4 linked regions of the Caenorhabditis elegans genome follow. The protein of the gene in region 2 purifies or fractionates together with the protein of the main gene of each other region. This does not show direct contact. Each region holds a gene or a part of one and is shown on either strand. Other genes may lie near its edges. The genes, in order: tin-44, cox-10, nduf-6 and cyc-1.

Region 1 (5,080 bases), on a different chromosome or scaffold from region 2:
TGAAACGGGAGAAGCCCAATGAAAAACGAATAAAAATGTAGCGCCACTGAAGAGTTGAAAATTACAGTACTCTTTAAAGACGCTCACCGTATCGAGTTAAAAAAAACAATTTTCGCGTCGAGACCGAGTACTGTATTTTTGGTAAAAATTGCAAAACAGAATTCTCATCATGAGGAAAGAGCCCGAATGAAATGTCTTCTGACAACATTTTTTAAAATTGAAAGTATAGAAACAATTTTCAGGAAACTACTGAACGTGGACAATTTTTCACGTATTACCTAATTGATGGGATCTCTCTGAAGCCACCAAAAGATTCAAACATTTCATTGGACCTTTACATCTGTTATTTGAATAGCCGCCGTCATCATGAGTATTCGTTGAAAATTTCGTTCAAAAAATAATAGGGCCTTTTCAGGCATTATCCAATCATTAAAACAAAAAGTGCAGTGTCGAATCGAATCTTCTACCAAGTTGGCACCTCTGATCCTTCGAAGAAGTCCTCATCTGAACCGATTTTCTCAACAATCAAAAGCCTTCTGAAATATTACACTGTCTTCGCGCACGTTCATTCCATCTCAAAAAGTGGAAAAGTCCGTATCGAAATCTTCGCTCCGAATTGAACTTTTTTATTATCATTCCAATTGACGGAAATAAACATTTTTTGAGTCGAAAGAAATCTGTAGACAAAGAAGACAACAGGAAGAGAAATGCACCCGTTCAGGTAACAAAGATGAAAATAAAAAACAAAAAAGGAAACAATCTAGCCTAAAAAAAGGAAATATACTATGAAAATACGGGGAGTTATAAAAGAAAAAGTTGAGATTTAATTAGGACACTGAGAAAGACGAAATTTTAAAGAGCAAGAGGAGTTTCTTGCATGTGCACTTCAAGAAGTTTCCACGCAAGTGCCGGATTGTATTCTTCAACATCTCGACAGAGAACCCAGATATGATTAATACGTTTCGGGTTATCTGGATCTCCTTCAACAACTTTTCCATCGGCATTTTTTGTCACATTGATCATGTACACTTGGAATGAAATAATCAAAACTGGGCCTTGTTCCATCATTTTTCCAGTTGCCATTTCTACTTTATTGATATCAATAATCCGAGAATCTTTTGTGCTAAAATGCATTTTCTGATACTCTTTGACGACTGTTGATAGCTGTGTGTAGGCCTGGAAAAAAAAAATTTATTAGGATTAAGACTACCCGTTTTTCGGTGTTTTCTAGAATCCAATGCACAATTCACTCAATTTTCTAATTAAAAAAAACTCACCCTTTCATGGCACCATGATTGTAAAACTTCAAGATCGAAACGAATGAAAGCTTCCAAAATATTTGGAATAATCTGAATAGAATATATTTATATGAAATTTCCAAAAATTCGCGATACCTTTGTCTCGCAGAACCTGAGCCATTCTTGTTTGTCGAAATTGGCGTCAATTTTGTGAATTTCGGTGAGAACTTCGGAAACCTCATTTTGGCCAGCTGAAATTGTTTATGAAATGTGGTAATTTAAAGATTAACTTACAGAAAACACTTCCAATTTTTTCCGTTACACCTCTCATCATACGTACTGCCATATTATCCGACTCATCGTACTTGATTTTCCAGTCGAGAAGTTCTACAAAAATTTTAATGAAGGCCTTTTAGTAGTACAGTAACCCATTCTACGACATTTCCCCTTTTTCTTAATTTATTTTTTCAACGGAATTTTTTTTTGTTTTTGTTTGGAATGTTGAATTTGAATTTGTTGAATTTGAAAAAATTGTTGAGCCCAAAAATTTGCATCCAATGGGTGAGGAAAATTGAAAATTCTCGAAAAAATTAAGTACCCTCCATAGACGGACGGGGCGAGGCCGGAAAGAGAGGATATTCGTCCTGCCCAGACGTAAAACGTGCCGTTTCAAACTACTTATCGGTCCGCAAATACCACTAAATTGAAATTGACCTCAACAGAATAATGTTTTGAGAGAAAATATCTGAGAAAAATGCTAAATAAAGGTAAAATGGAATCAAGGTAAAAAACACAGATGTTAAAAATTACTACATATCATAAGTTTATTTTTATTTCGAGTCAAAGTGGTGAAATTGAATTTGCGACGTTTTTGAAGGTATTTAAACATTTTAACATGCTTGAACCACTACAATTTCGGAATATCTATGAATATTTTGAACACAACAGAAATAAAATAGGAACAAAATTGTCTTTTATAGACGACTCACAAAAAAAAATTGGTGAAACCTGAGTTTTCACCTCTTTTGGACTCGAACTTTTCGTAACCATTTTTTTTCAAATATTTAACATAAAACTCACTGTGATAATAAGTATTTGATTCTGAAAAGTTTTTCCATCCTGAATACCATTTTGAATCTTTGTGCAGAGTTACATCGGTAGCTGAGCTGAAAATAGTAAAAAATTAGAAAAAATCGTAATAAAGAAAAACGAACTCATTGGCTTCTACGACCCGTTCTTTCTCCAAATCGAACCCATCTGTCCGTTTTGTGAGCGCTTCTGAAAAATTTTTGTATTAATTTTTTAAATCTACGATCTTTTATAACAACAAAATTGATATATTTTCTGATTCACAAAAACATTAGTAAAGTGCCACTTTTTTAACCAGAATTCTCTTTATTAGAAAACTTTGTTTAAACTTTTTTGAAAAATAATTGATTTTTTGCTTTTTTTTTGAATTAAAAAAAATTGGCATACCTGGTCTACTATACATTCTGACATCGGCAATATTGTCAATTTCATCTTTCACAGTTTTCATTGACTGAAATTCGAAAAAATTATTAAGTGTGACTTCTGAATGCAAACTCTTACAGTGGAAACATGCTTATAAACTTCTGTATCTCCAACTTTCTCTGCAACTTTTTCGACGTGTTCTGCGGCTTTTCGTGCTTGTTTAAGAGCCTCTGCTCCTGCTTCGGTCATCTTTTTTCCAGCCTCAGTTTTTTGAATTTCGTGCACCATCTGAAATAAAGTATTTTTTAATTTAAAATGGTCACTATAATCCAAACCTTTTTCATGTGATCACTGAGTTCTTCAATTTTTTGTTTAACAACTTCCGAGCTTTTCAATGTTTCTTTTTCCACAATTTCCTGAAATTTAAAAAATTAATTTTTTTTAAACTCCAAAAAAATACGAACAAATTTTTTTCGGGCATCTTTCAATGCATCTGACTCATTTAATTCCTGCATTCGAGCTTTCAACTGTTGTTGATGTTCCTGAAGTTCTTTGTTTTTCTGCATTTCATCTCGTACATTATCAATCAGATTATTCAAAAATCCACGTTTTGGCGCTGGATTACTGTAGTCTGAAAGTTGGAAATAGTTAGAAATGAAAACCTATAGACATTGCCTACCTCTGAAAGTAACAATAGATGGCTGAAATTGAAGTCTTGTCCGAGTTAATCGTATCCCGTTTCCACAAATTCGTGACAACATCTGAAGAATAATTTTTCACATTATAAGTTCAATAAAGAAGAGGCAAGAATGGAACTTGTGCGGGAAATATTCAAATAATAAATTTAATTAATTAATTTCGGTTTAATTATAATTTCTTCTGAACCATTGAAAGCTTTTCAGATCTAAACATCAAGGATTTTTAAACAGTTATTCTAAAACTCTGCAAACAAAAATAATAATGCCCGGAGAATGAAAATAACCATTTTTTGTGAACAAAAATTCTTTTTTGCATTTTATTTCAACAAATTTTCGAACAGAATTCAGCTTAAACAGCTTCGAAATTGAAAAAACGGAAAAAAATGCCGTCTAAATTTCACAACGACACTCCGCAATCCCGCACTCCCAGTGATGCAATTTTGAAAACTTCCCGATTTTATTTATTTTATTTACAAAGTCACGTAGATAGTAGGTTATAGACCTTCCTATTGGTATAAAAAAAATTGTAAAATGAAAAGAAAAGCATCACACCTCTTTATTTCATACAATATTTACAGAATCTCACTTTTAGCAGTAAAATTGAGAACTAAGCGACAAGTTGAAGTGCACTTTCTACCAGAAATTCAATGGAATTTTGAAAGAAAACTAAAGCTAAAAAATACACCAAGATACAAATACCGGTAGAACAGAAAAGGAGGGTACAGCGTTCAAACAATAAAAGTTTAAAAATCCGAAAAAAAAATGCAAAGAACTGAAACATGTAGAAAAGTGAAGAAGTTGCATTGAGAAGCAGCCAGGAATGTTTAATGTTGAATTTTTCAATATTCTGAATAGTATTTAAACCATGCCTCCGGGTTCATATTTAGCCCATGGGTTGTCGTCAAGAAACTTTTCAATAACCTGAAAATCATTAGAAATTAACTGAATTTATTACAGGGTGGGCCAAAAGTATGGTAACACATGAAGCGCTCTTTTACATGAGCTTTTCGCGTGACTGCCACGTCATACGTACATTCTTCTATCGAATACTGATAGCTGAATAAATTTCCTTCAATTTGACTCAAAATTTGTAATGTTTCCCAATAAGGTGCGATCTTTATCACCTCGACAATTTGGCGAACCCTTTCGAAAAAACGGTAATTTGGCACGCGGCACTTCCCACACAAACACACCTCCCATGCACGCCAATAATTTTCAGATGTATGATTTTTATGTTAAATTTAAAGTTAAAGAAGTGAAGAAGCGTTTTTAATTGTTTTTGTGGCATATAAAAATTTTCTGTGTCGACACTGGCGCCTAGCAAGAACCTTTGAATATTTCATGAATTCAACTTTGCGAAATTTACTCAGTTTTTTTGGTTTCGCAAGGCGTAACGTCCCACAAAATCATCCGAGCTCAATTTTCTAAAAAAATTCTGGAAAGTCAGGTCAAAACGTCTCGAAAAATACTAAAATGAATTTTTCTGCATACTGCTACTCGCCGCTCACATCCATCTTTCTGGCGACTATGCCATTCAAGACTTAACCTACTGCCGCAGTCCATGACAGAAATACCGTGATAGAAATTATTTGGATTTTTGTTTTTATAGAATCTCTAGACCAAGAGCATTCTTTGAACTATAAAAACTTGTAAGGCACTTGATGGATTCCTCGAGAAAAATGTAGAAATCCC
Region 2 (7,784 bases):
CTAAAAAAAAATTTAATTTAAAAAACTCAAAAAAATCAAATTTTTTGCGATTTTCTAGAACTTTAATCCTAATTTTTTTTTTTGAAAATTTACCTAAATATTAAAAATTAATTAATTTTTTCAAAAAAATTAAAATTTAAAATACTTCAACGATAATTTTCCTCTGTTTTGCTATTTTTTTAAAAGTTTTTTTTTTCAAAATTAATTTTTTTTTTAATTTTTGAAAAAAAATTAATTTTTGAAAATATTTTTCCACAAAATTCTACCGAAATTCGATCCGAAATGTGCTCTTTTTGCTGCTCATTTCGTCCATAATTACTAATTCCCATCAGTAACATGACCAGCGGCAGATGTAACAGTGAGTAGAAGAACAATTTTCGACTGTTTTTCGCGTCGGGAGCCTTGTAGAATTTGTAGGATAGGTAGACGAGGTACGCGTTCACTGGAAGAGAATCTGGAAAAATTTTCGGAATTTTATTTAGGGATTTTTGGAGGATTTTCGTGGTTTTTGGGCAACTTTTAGTGCAAAAAAAATCGAAAATTTCGATAAAAAATCAATTTTTTTCCCGATTTTTTTTTAAAATTGCAATAATTTATTTTGAAACCATATTTTAAAACTGAAATTCAAAAAATTGAGGATTTTAGCACAAAATCATTGAAATAATGATATTAAGAACAAAAAATTCACAATTTTGCTCCAAAAATACGGTACCGGGATTCACCACGACAATTTTTGTTTAACGCGAAAATGTGAGTGCCTTTAAAGAGTACTGTAGTTTAAAATTTTTGTTTTAAAACTTTCCATAGTTTTTCATTAAATAAAAATATTTTTAGCAAAAAACGTTGAAAATCGATGATGAAAATTGTCAGAGTTTAAAACTACAGTACTCTTTAAAGGCGCATACCTTTTCGAATTTAGTGAAAAAATTGTCGTGTCGAGACCTGGTACCGTATTATTTTTGGCGAAAAATTGTGGATTTTTTAGTTAAAATCATTATTTTCACTGATTTCGATGTTCTTTTTTTCAATTTTTTCGCCAAAAATACGGTACCGGGTCTCGACACGACAATTTTTTCACTAAAAGTCGACAATTTTTGATTAAACTCGAAATAGTCTGCGCCTTTAAAGAGTACTGTAGTTTCAACTTTTTGTTTCTGCAGATTTTAATTGATTTTACTTTGTTTTCCATTAAAAAAATGCATTTTTAGCGAAAAATCGATAGAAATGAAATTACAGTACTCTTTAAAGGCGCAAACCTTTTCGAAATTCACGAAAAATTGTCGTGTCGAGACCCGGGTACCGTAGTTTTGGCACTTTATTTCAAATTTTGACAAAAAATCATGGAAATTTCGGTTTTTTCTCTCGAAAAACACAAAAAAAGTGAAATTTTTTCGATTTTTAGGTTAAAAATCTGATTTTTTTTCGTGTTTTTTATCCAAAATTTTCAGCACCTATAGCAAAGGTGAGCGTTGTCAAGTCTGTAAGCGGAGCAGCGATGGAGCACAATCCGAGTAGAGCAACACTGTGACGAAGTGACGTCACACGGCACAACCGCTCATTTGTCACACACATTACGCGGTAGCCGGCCTGGAAAAAATATTTAAATTTTTGTTAAATTTCAGTTAAAAATTTCAGAAAAAAATGGAATTTTTTCGTGATTTTTTTTTTTGGAAAAATTTGAAATTTTTTCAATTTTCAACTCTTTTTTCTTGAAAAATTGCAATTTTTTAACGATTTTTTTCTTGAAAAATTACAATTTTTAAACTATTTTTTAGACAATTACCTTACTATAATCGCCTCTCAAATTCCAGCTAAGACCATTAAAATGTGGAAATTGCCATGAAAAAAGAATAGTTGCCAGGCACCAGGCAGCCGGATCCAGGTACCCGGTGGCTGCAGCATATCCCATTAGTGGTGGAATTGCTCCAACTACGGCTCCGGCCCATGTGCATCCGATATGAGAACGTTTCATCGGAGTGTAGACGCCTGGAAATTTGAATTTTCGACATTTTTATAAAGGAAAATTAGATTTTTCTAGTTTTTTAAAGGAAAAAACGGCCAATTTTGCGATTTTTTTGCTTGAAAAATGCGTTTTTTAAACGTTTTTTGGAGCAATTTTTATGTTTTTTTCAGGGTTTTTTCTTGAGAGAAATTGAAAAATTGTTTTTTATTCAAGAAATGAATTTTTTTTTAAAAATTTTTTAAATAAATTTTCTAGTTTTAAAGTGAAAAAAATGGCAAAAAAATTAGATTTTTTGAAGCAGTCTGCATTCATTTTTTCATTTTTAATTGGAAAAATTGAATTTTTCCAGTTTTTCGAGTGAAAAACGGCAAATTTTGCGATTTTTTGGATTGAAAAATGCGTCTTTTAAAGCTTTTTGGAGCAATTTTCAACTTTTTATTCAAGAATTTTGTGATTTTTCAGAGGTTTTTGAAGCTTTTTGCTTTTTTTTTTTTCAGATTTTTCAGATTCAAAAATGTATTTTTTTTTTCGGTTTTTTATCGAGAAAATTGATTTCTTTTTTTTTTTTGAAAAACTGGAAATCCAGCGAATTTTTATAAATTTTGATGGATTTTTGAATGAAAAATGCCAAATTTTTCGAGTTTTTGAATGGAAAATGCGTTTTTTTTACTTTTTTCAGCGATTTTATCGGGGTTTTCAAGGAAAATTTTAAAGATTTTTTCAATTTTTTATAGGTTTTTTTTGAAGCTTTTCGCCTTTTTTGTTCAGTTTTTTCAGTGAAAAAATTGGTTTTTATTTAAAAAAAAAACTGGAAATTCAGTGAATTTTCATCAATTTTCATAGTTTTTGAGTGAAAAAAGGCCAATTTTTCGAGATTTTTTTCCGAAAATCACGTTTTTTTTCAGCTTAAAATTCAAATTTCAAAAAAATCAACGTTTTCCTCAATCTTAGCCAGCACCTGCATAAATAAACCAGTTAAGAGCTCCAAGAGCCGCAGCCAACGGGTTCGCATAATACGCGAGAAGCCCGATTCCAGTGAGCCCAGTGACTCCGGCAAACGTGAAGGCGTGAAGTGGAGAGAATCTGGAAGTTTTCATGAAAATTTGGTGTTTTTTCAATAAAAAATTCATTTTTTGGAGCTATTTTTCAGTTTTTCCACGGAAAATTCGCATTTTATGCTATAAAATTCAATTTTTGGTATTTTTCCATAGAAAATGCTGAAAAATTCGGATTTTCCTATGCACAACTAAAACTCTCGTCTGTGTTCTTCTCATTTGTGCATCATACGGAGCCTCTAGCAGTTGATTACACGCATTTAAGGGAGAAAACGGCCAATTTTACGAGTTTTTAGCTTAGAAAATGCGTTTTTAAAGCTTTTCGGGCCAATTTTTAAGATTTTTCGGCGATTTTATCGGGGTTTTCTAAAAATTTTGAAGGATTTTGTGATTTTTCATAGGCTTTTTGAACCTTTTTGCATTTTTCGCCGATTTTTTATTGGAAAAATGGGATTTTTTTTAATTAAAAAGTGTTTTTTTTTGGTTTTTATTTTGATAAAATGTTTTGTATTTTTAAAAAATGTACTTTTAAAATTTTTTAAAAACAAATTTTCGTGGTTTTTCAAGCGAAATACGGCAAATTTTTTGAGATTTTGCTTGAAAAATGCGTTTTTCAAGCTTTTTGGAGCAATTTTTATGATTTTTCAGTGATTTTTTGGGAGAAATTGAGAAATTAAGGGATTTTTAGAAAATTTTAAAGAATTTTGTGAGTTTTCAAAAGGTTTTTGGTTTTTTAATTGATTTTTAATTGGAAAAATTGGATTTTTCTAGTTTTTTAAGTGACAAAATAGGCATATTTCGCGAGATTTTAGTTTGAAAAATGCGTTTTTCAAGCTTTTTGGAGCCATTTTTATGATTTTTCAATGATTTTTTTGAGAGAAATTTAGAAATTAAGGTTTTTTCTTGAAAATTTCAAAGAATTTTGTGATTTTTCATGAGGTTTTTGGTTTTTTGCTGAAAAATTCGGATTTTTCAATATTTTTTCTTCCAAAAACCGTCCAAACCCGCACCTATGCACAACTAAAACTCTCGTCTGTGTTCTTCTCATTTGTGCATCATACGGAGCCTCTAGCAGTTGATTACACGCATTTGCAGCCGATGAGAGCAGAAATGTGCCTGAAAACTGCACTTTTTTCGCGGGTAAATTTGCACAAAAACCCACCAACAGTGGCGGCGATCAGCGAGTCAGCGGCAACTGGCACTGGCGCCATTAAAACTCCACAGGTAGCTGGAAAAATTCGAATTTCATTAGTTTTTAGCTTGAAAAACCAGTTTTTAAACCTGTAGAAGCAACGAAAAGACTCAATTTTGACTTGCAAAGCGCCAAATAGTCGGCCGCCAGATTTTTAGTCTCCATTTTATACCATTGCTGTAGATATTGATCGCCGACTGAAAAAAAAAATGATTTTTGGAACAAAAAAAATGTGGGAAAATTGCTTTACAACATGCCTATGGGGCCACAATGACCGAATATCATGATTAAAAAAATTCCAAAAATTCAAAAAATTTTCTAGATTTTATATGATTTTTTTTTTGAAAATTGGAAAAATCTCAGTTTTCACCTAATTAGTTTTGAATTTCCGCCAATTGAATTCGTTCGTTGGAGCGTGCTTGCATTATTTTTATAAATTTATTTTATTTATTCTCATTAAATATTTCACTGATTTGCTTCATTTTCTATGTTTTTTCCTCAGAAAATGAAAGAAATAAACAAGAAAAATGAAGAATGATCACTAAAAATTAAAGGTGGAGTAGAGTTAAAAAAAAAAACCGAATATAACTGTTAAAAAATTTTTAAAACATTCCTAAATTTTTTATGTTTTTTTTAGTTTTTCAAAAATCAAAGAAACGGCTGAATAAATTTGAATTCCCGCGCAAATGAGCGACGTCATTTTTGATATTTTCGCGTTTTCTGGCTAAATTCGTCGGGGTTTTTTTTCAATTTTCTCTTCTATATTTGATTTGAAACACCGTTTGTCAATTATTTAAAATAGTTATTTTGAAAAAAATTAATAATAAATATTAAATTGCGGATTTTAGGCCAATTTTGACATTTCTGGCAATTTCCTTAGGGTTATCAAGTTTTTTTTTTCACGGGAAAGTTGTTAAATAATTGACAAACGGTGTTTCAAATCAAATATAGAAGAGAAAATGGAAAAAAAACCCCGACGAATTTAGCCAGAAAACGCGAAAATATCTAAGATGACGTCACTCATTTGCGCGGGAATTCAAATTTATTCAGCCGTTTCTTTGATTTTTGAAAAATTAAAAAAATCATAAAAAAATTAGAAATTTTTTAAAATTCTTTTTACAGTTATATTCGGTTATTTGGGTGCATTTTCTGTCATTTAAAGCAAATAAATTTTTTGACTCCACTCAATCTTTAATTTTTAGTGATCATTCTTCATTTTACTTGTTCATTTCTTTCATTTTCCGAGGAAAAAACATAGAAAATGAAGAAAATCAGTGAAATAATGAGAATAAATAAAATAAATAAACAAAAATAATGCAAGCGCGCTCCAACGAACGAATTCAATTGGCGGAAATTCAAAATAACTAGGCGAAAAATGTGATTTTTTCAATTTTCATATAAAAAATCATATAAAATCTAGAAAAATTTTTTTGAATTTTTTTATCATCATATTCGGTCATTGTGACCCCATAGGCATGTTTTAAAGAAATTTCTCCAGTCCACCTTTAAATAATTTTACCAATTATATCGATATCTTTTTTGTGTCGTTTTCCGGATAAATCTAAAATTTGCGTGTCTGGACGTGGTTTTTTCGGCGAAGCCAACGGCATTTCCTCGTCTAGCGGTTTTGCCTGAAATTATAGAGCTATGAAGCTACTTTTCCACCCGGCTTTTACCCTGGGAAGCACGGAATTTACTGCGGAAGTGTGGAAAACTGCTTGACTAGTCGACGGCGTGAAGCCCACCCGAGAGCACATTAATATATGCCTGCTGAGCATTTTTTTGGGGACCCGAGTTGTCTGGTAAATCAAAAATTATTAATTCGATTGAAAAACTGTGAAAACTTTACAGAAAAATGATTAAAAATTAAATAAATTCGGGCGTTGAGAGCTGTGGATTTACGGTAAAGAAGGCGCGCTGGCGGGATTCCGGAGCATCGTTGTTGGCGGACATTTAAATCATAGTTTAATATTTTTTTTACTAAATTTTGATTTTCTATATTATTTCTAGAGAATTTCTCGATTTTCAAAGAATTTCTTTTTGAAAACAAACATTCCCTTGAATATAACGTGAAAAATTGCTTTAAACATTCATTTCCTGCTAGAAAAACACTCGGGAAATAAATTTCTCCGCTGTTTTATCTATTTTTGCAATTTTCCTCATGATAACGCCTACAATTTCATTCGGTTTTTGCTGGGAATCTCTATGCAATATTCTTTTCTACTCGGTGAGTGCTTTCATCCGATTTTAGCAAGTTTCGATCTAAAATTTTCAGTTTTGCCCCACTCAACGTGTCATTTGCTCGGAGAAAAGCATTTGTGAATGTGCTGAAGCATAATAAAATGTTTAAAATTTTTCTTTATGACTAAAAATCGAGAAAAAACACAGGAAATCGCTAAATTAAGCATCTAGTCGGCGGGATTTTCAGTATTTCCAGGCGTCGGTGTGTGCTGGAAGCTGCTTGAGTCGATCCGCGTACATTTTTGAGTGACCCTGAAACAAAAATCAATTGGTTTTATGGATTTTTAGGTTAAAATATGCTAAAAATTGAATTTTCAGCACGATTTCAGCACGCTTACCTTCATCATCTCGGCCTTATTGTATCCGGCGCTCTCCCAGCAGCGGGCGAAATAGGCGACGGCCAACGTGGCAGTCCAAAGGCCTCTTTTGTCCCAAAAAGCGTTCTTGAGGAAATATGTGGCGGTGAAGGTACCCATTCTGCAAAAAAACTGGCATTTTTTAAAAGAAAACTCGGAGAAATACAGAAAATCAAGAGAAATTAAGGGAAAATCAGCAATTTTAGGGATTTTTTATTGAAAAATCATTATTTTCCTATAGAAACTAAATTTCAGATGAAAAAATGAAGAACTGACTCTAAAAATCTTAAAATCCACGTAATTTTCATTTAATTCATTTTCAATAACTTTCACTTTAACGCCTATTAAACGTGAATTATAGGTGAAAAATAACGTATTTTATCAATATTTCAATAAAGAAAAATAAGAAAAAATCAATAAAATCCCGAAAAATCGATTAAAAACCGGCAGAAAATAAATTCGACGACAAATAAAATGTGAGACAACGACGCTCCGATATTTCGGTGGCGCGTGTTGTTTAGCAGTTTGTGAAAAGGGTGGTTTTTCAAATAGGGGTTTTGTGGAAATAGTTTTTGTTAGGTTTTCCAAGCGAAAAATAATGGTTTAATCATTGGAAAATTGAATGAATCGACTGTGAACAACTCCTCAACAAATTTCAATAGATAAGCTCTTGCAAAGTTTTAAAAAGTAAAACCAGCGTCCACTTCAAGCGGTCAAAACCAAAATCAAAACCTTCAAATTTTTACTATATAAATCCAAAAAAGATTACTTGGAGGTATGGGGAATCGAACCCCAGACTTCTCGCATGCAAAGCGAGCGCTCTACCCCTGAGCTATACCCCCATATTCTGCTTGATTGCAATAGGAAAAGAGGAGTCTACGGGTGTAACGAAAGCGAGTAAATCTTGAATTGATGCGTTTTCCTGTTAGATTATCATTGAACCACTCCTTCAGGGTTGAATTTGTCTTTCTGCATTC
Region 3 (3,061 bases), on a different chromosome or scaffold from region 2:
TATTTGAAAACTCAAAGTATTTACATTTTTATGTTTTCAGATTACTGTTCTTGCAAATTTGAAACCGACACGCGATTTGGAATCAGAATTGATTGCCGGGCAACGTTTGAGCAGAGACCAAATGGATCAGGTTAGTGTACCTTATAGTGCAGCTGGTTAGACTATTGTCGACCACCCAAATGTCCCTGGTTCACCCCCGCTCTATGTTCCTCTCCACTTTGTTAATTTTCTGGAATGGAGATTTTATAAGAGCGAAAATAAAATGTCATTAGCGGTGCTCATCTTCGGTTAATTTTCTCGATATGGCTGATTGGATAATGACTACATTTTTATTTTCACAGATACAAGCGTTCCGAACTTTGCTCGATGGAATGCTGATTCTTGATCCAAGCAAACGAACAACCTGCAATGAGGCTCTCAAACACCCATTCTTCACCATACCTATCAAATAATACATTTCCCAAATTTTTTCGGTGATCTCTAATTTCTCTTCTCCTATTTCGATTGTATGTATGCTATATTTAAATACATATTCCTCGACAGCAAATTTTTTGTTATCTTTCGATTCATTATGGAAATTTTAAATGAAAATGATTGTAAATTCGCTACTTGTTTTGTATACATACTAAAAAATAAAACCAAGAGGCTAGACAAATTAGCAGTTGAGGTGTTGGATCTTCATGTCCTCTGCCTTCGTGGCGTGCGAGTTATAGAATCGGTTTCCACAATATCCGCAAGCATGAACTCCTGGTTTGTCCTGAAAAAATTAAAGTGTGACATTAAAAGTTAAAAAAAAACTAACAAGGTTGATGTATACTTTCGGATGTCCAAGAGCTGGATGTCCTCCATCACAGAAGACAACTCTCTTATCCCCGCAATCCTCTGGAGGGCGTTGATCAATAAGATGCATTGCTACATTTGGATTGACGCTTTTCTTCGAAATATCAAATCTTTGAAGACGATAATCAGATTGATCCCACGCCTGAAAATGTGCTTATTTTATTTGAAAAGTTATATAAGAAACACTTACTTGTCCGGTGTGAGTCACCTTGTCGAATTGTGCATTGTTTTTGGTAATTTGATTCGGAGTTGGTGGCTTTGTTGTAATTGTAGAAGAAGCTCGGACGGCAAGAGGTCCGCGTGAAACCGACTGTTGAAGAAGCCGGTTCATTACTAAACCAAACAGTGATTATGATTAATCGATACAACTTTGAATTCAATATAAAAGAGCAACGAAGAAATAATTGTAAAAACCGTAACAATTTCCTTCTTTATAAAACATGAACAAACATTGTTTTATACTTAAACTAGACAAATTGTTGTTAATCATCTGTTTTCAAACAAATTTGACGTCAATTAAAAAGATGTTTCTCAACGCCCGCAACTTGGCGTCAAATGAAATGCTTGCGTCAAAAACACGAATTACCATTGTGCACCGTAATGAATCTTCCACATCGTTTTCTGAGTGATTTGTGAACGAATAAATTAATTTGACCCGTCAAATTTTAAATAGGATACATGTTTATTCTAAGATTGTCTAAAATTGATTTGATTTTCAGCTAGGGAGGCATAAATTTAAAGTAAGAGTTAAGACAGGGGAGTACGCAAACACTGAACTTGACGACAGTTTCGTGCGATTGCACAATCTCACTTTTGTTGGAATTTTCGTCAGATTTTCCCAATTCTTTACTTTTTTATAATGTACAGATTAGTGTGTCTTTCAAAATGAATGAGTAAACATTTATTCATCTCTGTTTCGTTAAATGTAACTTTCTGTGCTCAGTTCTGCTACATTTTAAAATAACTTTTAGGAACTCCGTATACTGTTTCATAAATATCTTAATTTACAGTCGACATGTCCAAGCTTTACATCGATACCGATGCTGGATCTGATCAGCATCCCGGAACAGAAGCTCAGCCATTGGCTACTTTGGTTCAGGTTAGCACACAAAAATATAGTTGCTAAAAACAAACTTTTCAGGCTATGCTTATTTCGAAAAACTCGGGCGAGTTCTTGATGAAGAAAAAGTCAGAGGAAGGGGAATCGTGGGAACCAGCAGCGAAAGCTGCTATCAAAAAGGCAGTGAAAAAATACGAAGCTGAAGTGAAAAAGCTGGAGAAAGCTGGTTGTAGGGAGAAAGAAGCCGAAGAGGCTCAACATGCTGCTCTCGAAGAAGCCAAGAAGATTACATTTTCTCTTGACAAGTCTCTTCCAGAAGCTAAGGTTATCAAGATTGGAGAATCTGTGCAGCATCGCGATCAACGAGTCTCAATCAAAGCCTGGGTACATCGTCTTCGTCGTCAAGGAAAGTCACTCATGTTCCTTGTTCTTAGAGACGGTTATGGATTCCTTCAATGTGTTTTGAACGATAAGTTGGTATGAAATAGTTTCAAAGATCAACTATAATCGTTTCGTTTTCCAGTGTCAAAGTTATGATGCTGTTACTCTCTCAACAGAGACTTCTGTTCAAGTTTATGGAATTATCAAGGCACTTCCCGATGGAAAATCCGCTCCTGATGGTCACGAGCTTACCGTTGACTATTGGGAGGTTATTGGCAAAGCACCAGCTGGAGGAATTGACAACGTTCTCAACGAAAGCGCTGGAGTCGATGTGATGCTTGATAACCGCCACCTTGTCATCCGTGGAGAGAATGCATCAAGAATTCTTCGTATTCGCGCTGCAGCTACTCGTGCAATGAGAGATCATTTCTTTGCTGCTGGATATACTGAAGTTGCTCCTCCAACTTTGGTGCAAACACAAGTTGAGGGTGGTTCCACTCTCTTTGGGCTTGATTATTATGGAGAGCCTGCATACTTGACACAATCTTCTCAACTTTATTTGGAGACTTGCAATGCTGCTCTTGGTGATGTTTATTGTATTTCACAGTCGTACAGGTAGGTTTTTTGACATTTTTTTAGAACACTAGTATTCAAAAATAAATTTCAGAGCCGAAAAATCGAGAACTCGTCGCCATCTGTCAGAGTATCAACACGTTGAGGCTGAATGCGCTTTTATCACTTTCGATCAACTTATGGATCGCATTGAGGCTCTTGTTTGTG
Region 4 (3,964 bases), on a different chromosome or scaffold from region 2:
AGATGACTGCGAGAAACGGTGATTCAGAAGCCAAGAATATGATGAGAATTTTGATGGATGACTTCACAAGTCTTGAATTCTATCCAACACCAATAGACACATCACTATGCCATGTATTCTTGGCTGATCAGGATCAATATGTACTGCGAAATCAAGGGACACCAACATATCAACAATTATGGCCTAATGTAACTGTTGAAATGATGGAAGGATATGGACATGTTACAGCATATCTATCGAAACATGATCTTTGGCGTCGAAGAATAACCGAATTGCTCAGACGGCAACAGCAGAAAACAATTTAAAATAATTTGCATTTTTACTAGAATTTTGATTTTCCGTTTCTTCTTGTGATACTAGAACTCCCATAGCCAAATTTGAGATTGTCTCTATTTTGACATTACCGGTTTCTCTTTCTCAGTGTGCCTTTTCATAAAATAGAACTATGTCGGTAATGAACATTTTTCAACCAAATTCTACAAACATGATCTCCATATGCGATTTATAATTTAAAACTTTATTCGTCTCCACACTAAAAATAAATGTCGACGTTTTACCATTATTTGGTTTATTGGAAAAGAAAAGAAGGTATAAAAACGTGGTTACAGAGAAAAAAAAACGGATAAGAGATTTCCTATATAAAAAAAATATTCGAGAAAGTAATGATGCATCGAAAAAGTTCGTGAGCTTTTTAGTTTAAAAAGGAGTCTGACTATTTCGAATACAGCAAAAACTCTCAGAAAATGGAAAAATACTCATACTAAACTCTCCATTTTATTTTCACAATTAACAAACAACGGCGACAACTAAATTTTTCTAAACGGCTCCCGACGTCGTCCCCAATTTGAAAATTTTGGTGACTACGACGGTCGGATCGAGGGAGAGCGCGTTCTTTTTTTTTGAGGGGATGGAGGCTGTGAAAAAATGAACTAGGAGAGGAGGGTTACAAATACTCGCAATTTCATTAAATTTACAAACGATTAATCTCACAATATTTTATGAAATTGCGAGCAAATGATCGCTGATGGAAATTGCGGACGAATGAAGAGGATAATGAAAAAATAGCGGAAAGCTGGTGATTACTGAGCCTTTGGTGGCTCTCTTCCCTTGACCGTCTTGAACAAGAATTTCTGCGACTTCGTGAATGACCAGATATGTCTCTTTCCGTAGATCAGCACAACAGCCACAAATGGAATCAGAGCAGCGATCTAAATTATTAAAGTTTATTCACTTGTATATAATATTTTCTAAAATGAATTACCTTAAGAGCCCACTTCTTTCTGGTGTCATGGAATGGCTCTGCGGCCCAGTGCATGAATGCAGAAACATCCTTAGCTTGTTGAGACATTGTTGCTGGTGTTCCGTCCTTGTACTCAATTCCTTCGTCGAACAATTGTTGTGGCATAGAGATGATACCTCCTGGGAAGTATGGATTGTAAGCTTTTCCGTCATCAACCTGAAAAATGTTTCACTAATTCCTTTCAATTGTGTGCACGAAATACCTTCACTCCAGCTGGAGCCTCAAGATATCCAGTAAGAAGAGAGAAAACGTAATCATCTCCTCCGTGTCTAGCAAGAGCCATCAATGACAAATCTGGTGGAGCAGCTCCGTTGTTGGCAGCCGCTGCGGCCTTCTTGTTTGGATATGGGTTTGGCAACTTATCGGTCAGCATTCCTGGGCGCTGAATGGATGCTCCCTTATCGTCAACATCATTAATAAGAGCGTCAGCGGCCTCGGCTTTAGCTTCTTCCTTTAAAAAAAAGTCGTGATTAGCATGAAGTTATTATTTTATTCAAATTACCTCAGTCATGATTGTGTCAACGAAATGACGGTAATGCAAGAATTTCATCGAGTGGCAAGCTGCGCACACTTGCTTGTATACTTCGTATCCACGTCGTACACTGAAACATGAACGATTTATCATTATCCAAACTCAATTGAACCTACGAAGCAATGTCGAATGAAGAGAACGGTCCGCTGTGAGCCCATGGTAAAGCGTACGGGTGAACGTTGTCTCCGCTAGCGCTGACCGAGTTCTCCAAAGCGTAAACGAGTCCCATGCCTGAAGCGGCTGTGACTCCGGCAAGGGCCGCCAATCCACGCTGAAAAATACGATAATTAATTCACTGTTTATTTCAACATAAATTATTGTCTTCTAATAATAATTGGAGTTTTTGAATAGAAAGGACATAAAACTTACTTTAGATCCTTGAACCACGGCACGCTGCATTACGTACCACGTCGATTACCTATAAAATTCGTTTAATTTATTTCACTAAATTTGTTTTAAAAAAGAATTGAACGTGTGAACATTGCATAAATTTTATTCATCAATTTCCTAATTTAAATCAACTCCAGCAACGGAATTGCTTAAAAATTGAAGGTTCAATTTATCCGAATTGGAAATCTATCCAGTAAAATTATTCTGACGTGAATGAACCCGGAAATTGAATAAATTAACAAAAAACAACTGAAAAATTAAAGAAAAAGAAAATCTTGTACAGCACGGTCATCTAGAAACGCGCCAGCATCGAGAAATGTGCCCGCCTGGTGCTGGCGCACTTCTTGTGAGACCTGCGTATCCACTTTTATAACGATGTCTGCAACCTTATCGTAGAATAAAAGAAAGCTCAAAAACAGTTTAAAGATAATTTTTCTTTCCTGAAAATAACTTAATTACAGCTTTTTGGAATAAAAAAAAAGAGCGAAGAGAAGTTTTTTTATTAATTTATCAAAGAAAATAGATATTCAAATGAAAGACCAATTGAAAAAATAAGGAAAGTATGTTTCAAAAATACTCGTCGGCTAATTTTCTTTCATAAACTCCAAAATCCGATCCTCAGCATTTTTGTAGGTGCATGTCAAAATGGAAAAGTAGCTTGCGCCGATATTTTGGTGCTCCAGGCGCATTACTTCTTCCTCACTCGTAGCTTTATTGGATTCAACTTGTTTCAGCTTGACAAAGTCGACAAGCTGCTCGTGCATCGGTTGAAGAATCTTATGGTAAACTTCACGACAGAGCTCTTTTTTAATTTTGAAAACTGCTTGTGCCTGAGCTAGTGCGAACACAGCAGAGAAGTAGACAGTTGCAAAATAAACGTCATCGTATTTAATCTTCAAACACAGTGCCCAAAATTCACCAAGTTCTTCATAAAATTCAGGTGACCTGAGGCCGAATGCATTTCGCTGGTAAGTTGTGATGATGGTTGCAACAACTTGCGGTTCCAAACCAATATTTGTATCTTTCTGAATGAGAAATTTTTAATCTTTAAAAATACACCAACAGAAATCAAACCTTTTCGGAAATTTTTTTAAGAAAATGCTTCAGAAACAGAGGTCTGCTTTTGAGAGAATATCTAGAAGCTGTTTTCTCTAAAAGCTTGGCTGATTCTGTTATGTCGTTCATCCCAATTCCATATCCATTGAATATTCGAAGAGCAGCAAGCCAAAATTCTACAATTTTATCAATTTCGGGAGCTTCCAATTGAGGGATAAGCTCCATTCGTTTGTAAATCTGATTAAACACTTGAAGCATCTGACATGCTTGTTCTTTGTGATAAGTTGATTCAATTTGAAAGAAATTTGTGAACTCTTTCACTTCCAAATGGAATCGGGTCTCTTCTGAAACAACGTGTGGAATATAAAAATATTCGGAGTCCTTCTTGAAATCTTCGATCACTGAAATACGCATTTTTCAATTGAAATTTAATTCTACAACTGCTCTTACCGAGGATAGGATGAAAGGGAGAAACAATAGCGAGCTCATTTAGAAATTTCATGGGAATGTTGACCTTATTTGCATTGAGCGATATTATAACATCCTTGAGTAATTTTTCAAGAAATCTTTTCGGAGCTCCAGATAACCTCAGAATTCTACAATTTGCAGTCATTCTTCTTGCGAGAATTTCGATTTTTTCAGTATTTTTCGCAGACTCGATTTGTTTCCAGACTTCTCTACAATCA

What was found.
Region 1: the proteins of cox-10 (region 2) and tin-44 fractionate together in Caenorhabditis elegans (co-fractionation; one large-scale study listed by BioGRID). This does not show direct contact.
Region 3: the proteins of cox-10 (region 2) and nduf-6 fractionate together in Caenorhabditis elegans (co-fractionation; one large-scale study listed by BioGRID). This does not show direct contact.
Region 4: the proteins of cox-10 (region 2) and cyc-1 fractionate together in Caenorhabditis elegans (co-fractionation; one large-scale study listed by BioGRID). This does not show direct contact.

What each region holds. Positions count from the first base shown.
Region 1 is NC_003279.8:6,177,390-6,182,469, forward strand, and holds tin-44 (putative mitochondrial import inner membrane translocase subunit tin-44), read right to left. Parts: upstream 3,452-5,080; coding exon 3,370-3,451; intron 3,322-3,369; coding exon 3,155-3,321; intron 3,107-3,154; coding exon 3,026-3,106; intron 2,979-3,025; coding exon 2,829-2,978; intron 2,779-2,828; coding exon 2,715-2,778; intron 2,517-2,714; coding exon 2,453-2,516; intron 2,405-2,452; coding exon 2,319-2,404; intron 1,626-2,318; coding exon 1,533-1,625; intron 1,490-1,532; coding exon 1,395-1,489; intron 1,350-1,394; coding exon 1,278-1,349; intron 1,177-1,277; coding exon 853-1,176; 3' UTR 621-852; downstream 1-620. Other genes in the region: T09B4.3 (uncharacterized protein), read left to right, coding at 243-370, 416-620; chn-1 (E3 ubiquitin-protein ligase CHIP), read right to left, coding at 4,247-4,309. UniProt on the Caenorhabditis elegans protein: Essential component of the PAM complex, a complex required for the translocation of transit peptide-containing proteins from the inner membrane into the mitochondrial matrix in an ATP-dependent manner.
Region 2 is NC_003280.10:12,678,179-12,685,962, reverse strand, and holds the start of cox-10 (Protoheme IX farnesyltransferase, mitochondrial), read right to left. Parts: upstream 6,010-7,784; 5' UTR 5,989-6,009; coding exon 5,887-5,988; intron 5,842-5,886; coding exon 5,730-5,841; intron 4,408-5,729; coding exon 4,300-4,407; intron 4,247-4,299; coding exon 4,181-4,246; intron 4,135-4,180; coding exon 4,029-4,134; intron 3,047-4,028; coding exon 2,922-3,046; intron 1,987-2,921; coding exon 1,784-1,986; intron 1,588-1,783; coding exon 1,452-1,587; intron 455-1,451; coding exon 267-454; intron 1-266. Other genes in the region: Y38E10A.33 (Nodule Cysteine-Rich (NCR) secreted peptide), read left to right, coding at 6,372-6,437, 6,486-6,548; Y38E10A.24 (Complex I-B12), read right to left, coding at 6,635-6,703, 6,790-6,927.
Region 3 is NC_003279.8:7,088,852-7,091,912, reverse strand, and holds nduf-6 (putative NADH dehydrogenase [ubiquinone] iron-sulfur protein 6, mitochondrial), read right to left. Parts: upstream 1,174-3,061; 5' UTR 1,172-1,173; coding exon 1,031-1,171; intron 983-1,030; coding exon 803-982; intron 758-802; coding exon 656-757; 3' UTR 552-655; downstream 1-551. Other genes in the region: prpf-4 (Serine/threonine-protein kinase PRP4 homolog), read left to right, coding at 41-130, 342-452; nars-1 (Asparagine--tRNA ligase, cytoplasmic), read left to right, coding at 1,856-1,939, 1,982-2,377, 2,424-2,896, 2,949-3,061. UniProt on the Caenorhabditis elegans protein: Accessory subunit of the mitochondrial membrane respiratory chain NADH dehydrogenase (Complex I), that is believed not to be involved in catalysis. Complex I functions in the transfer of electrons from NADH to the respiratory chain.
Region 4 is NC_003279.8:8,022,173-8,026,136, forward strand, and holds cyc-1 (Cytochrome c domain-containing protein), read right to left. Parts: upstream 2,251-3,964; 5' UTR 2,232-2,250; coding exon 2,202-2,231; intron 2,104-2,201; coding exon 1,949-2,103; intron 1,903-1,948; coding exon 1,803-1,902; intron 1,752-1,802; coding exon 1,503-1,751; intron 1,457-1,502; coding exon 1,262-1,456; intron 1,209-1,261; coding exon 1,080-1,208; 3' UTR 502-1,079; downstream 1-501. Other genes in the region: C54G4.7 (AB hydrolase-1 domain-containing protein), read left to right, coding at 1-305; C54G4.9 (RAP domain-containing protein), read right to left, coding at 2,807-3,247, 3,297-3,679, 3,729-3,964.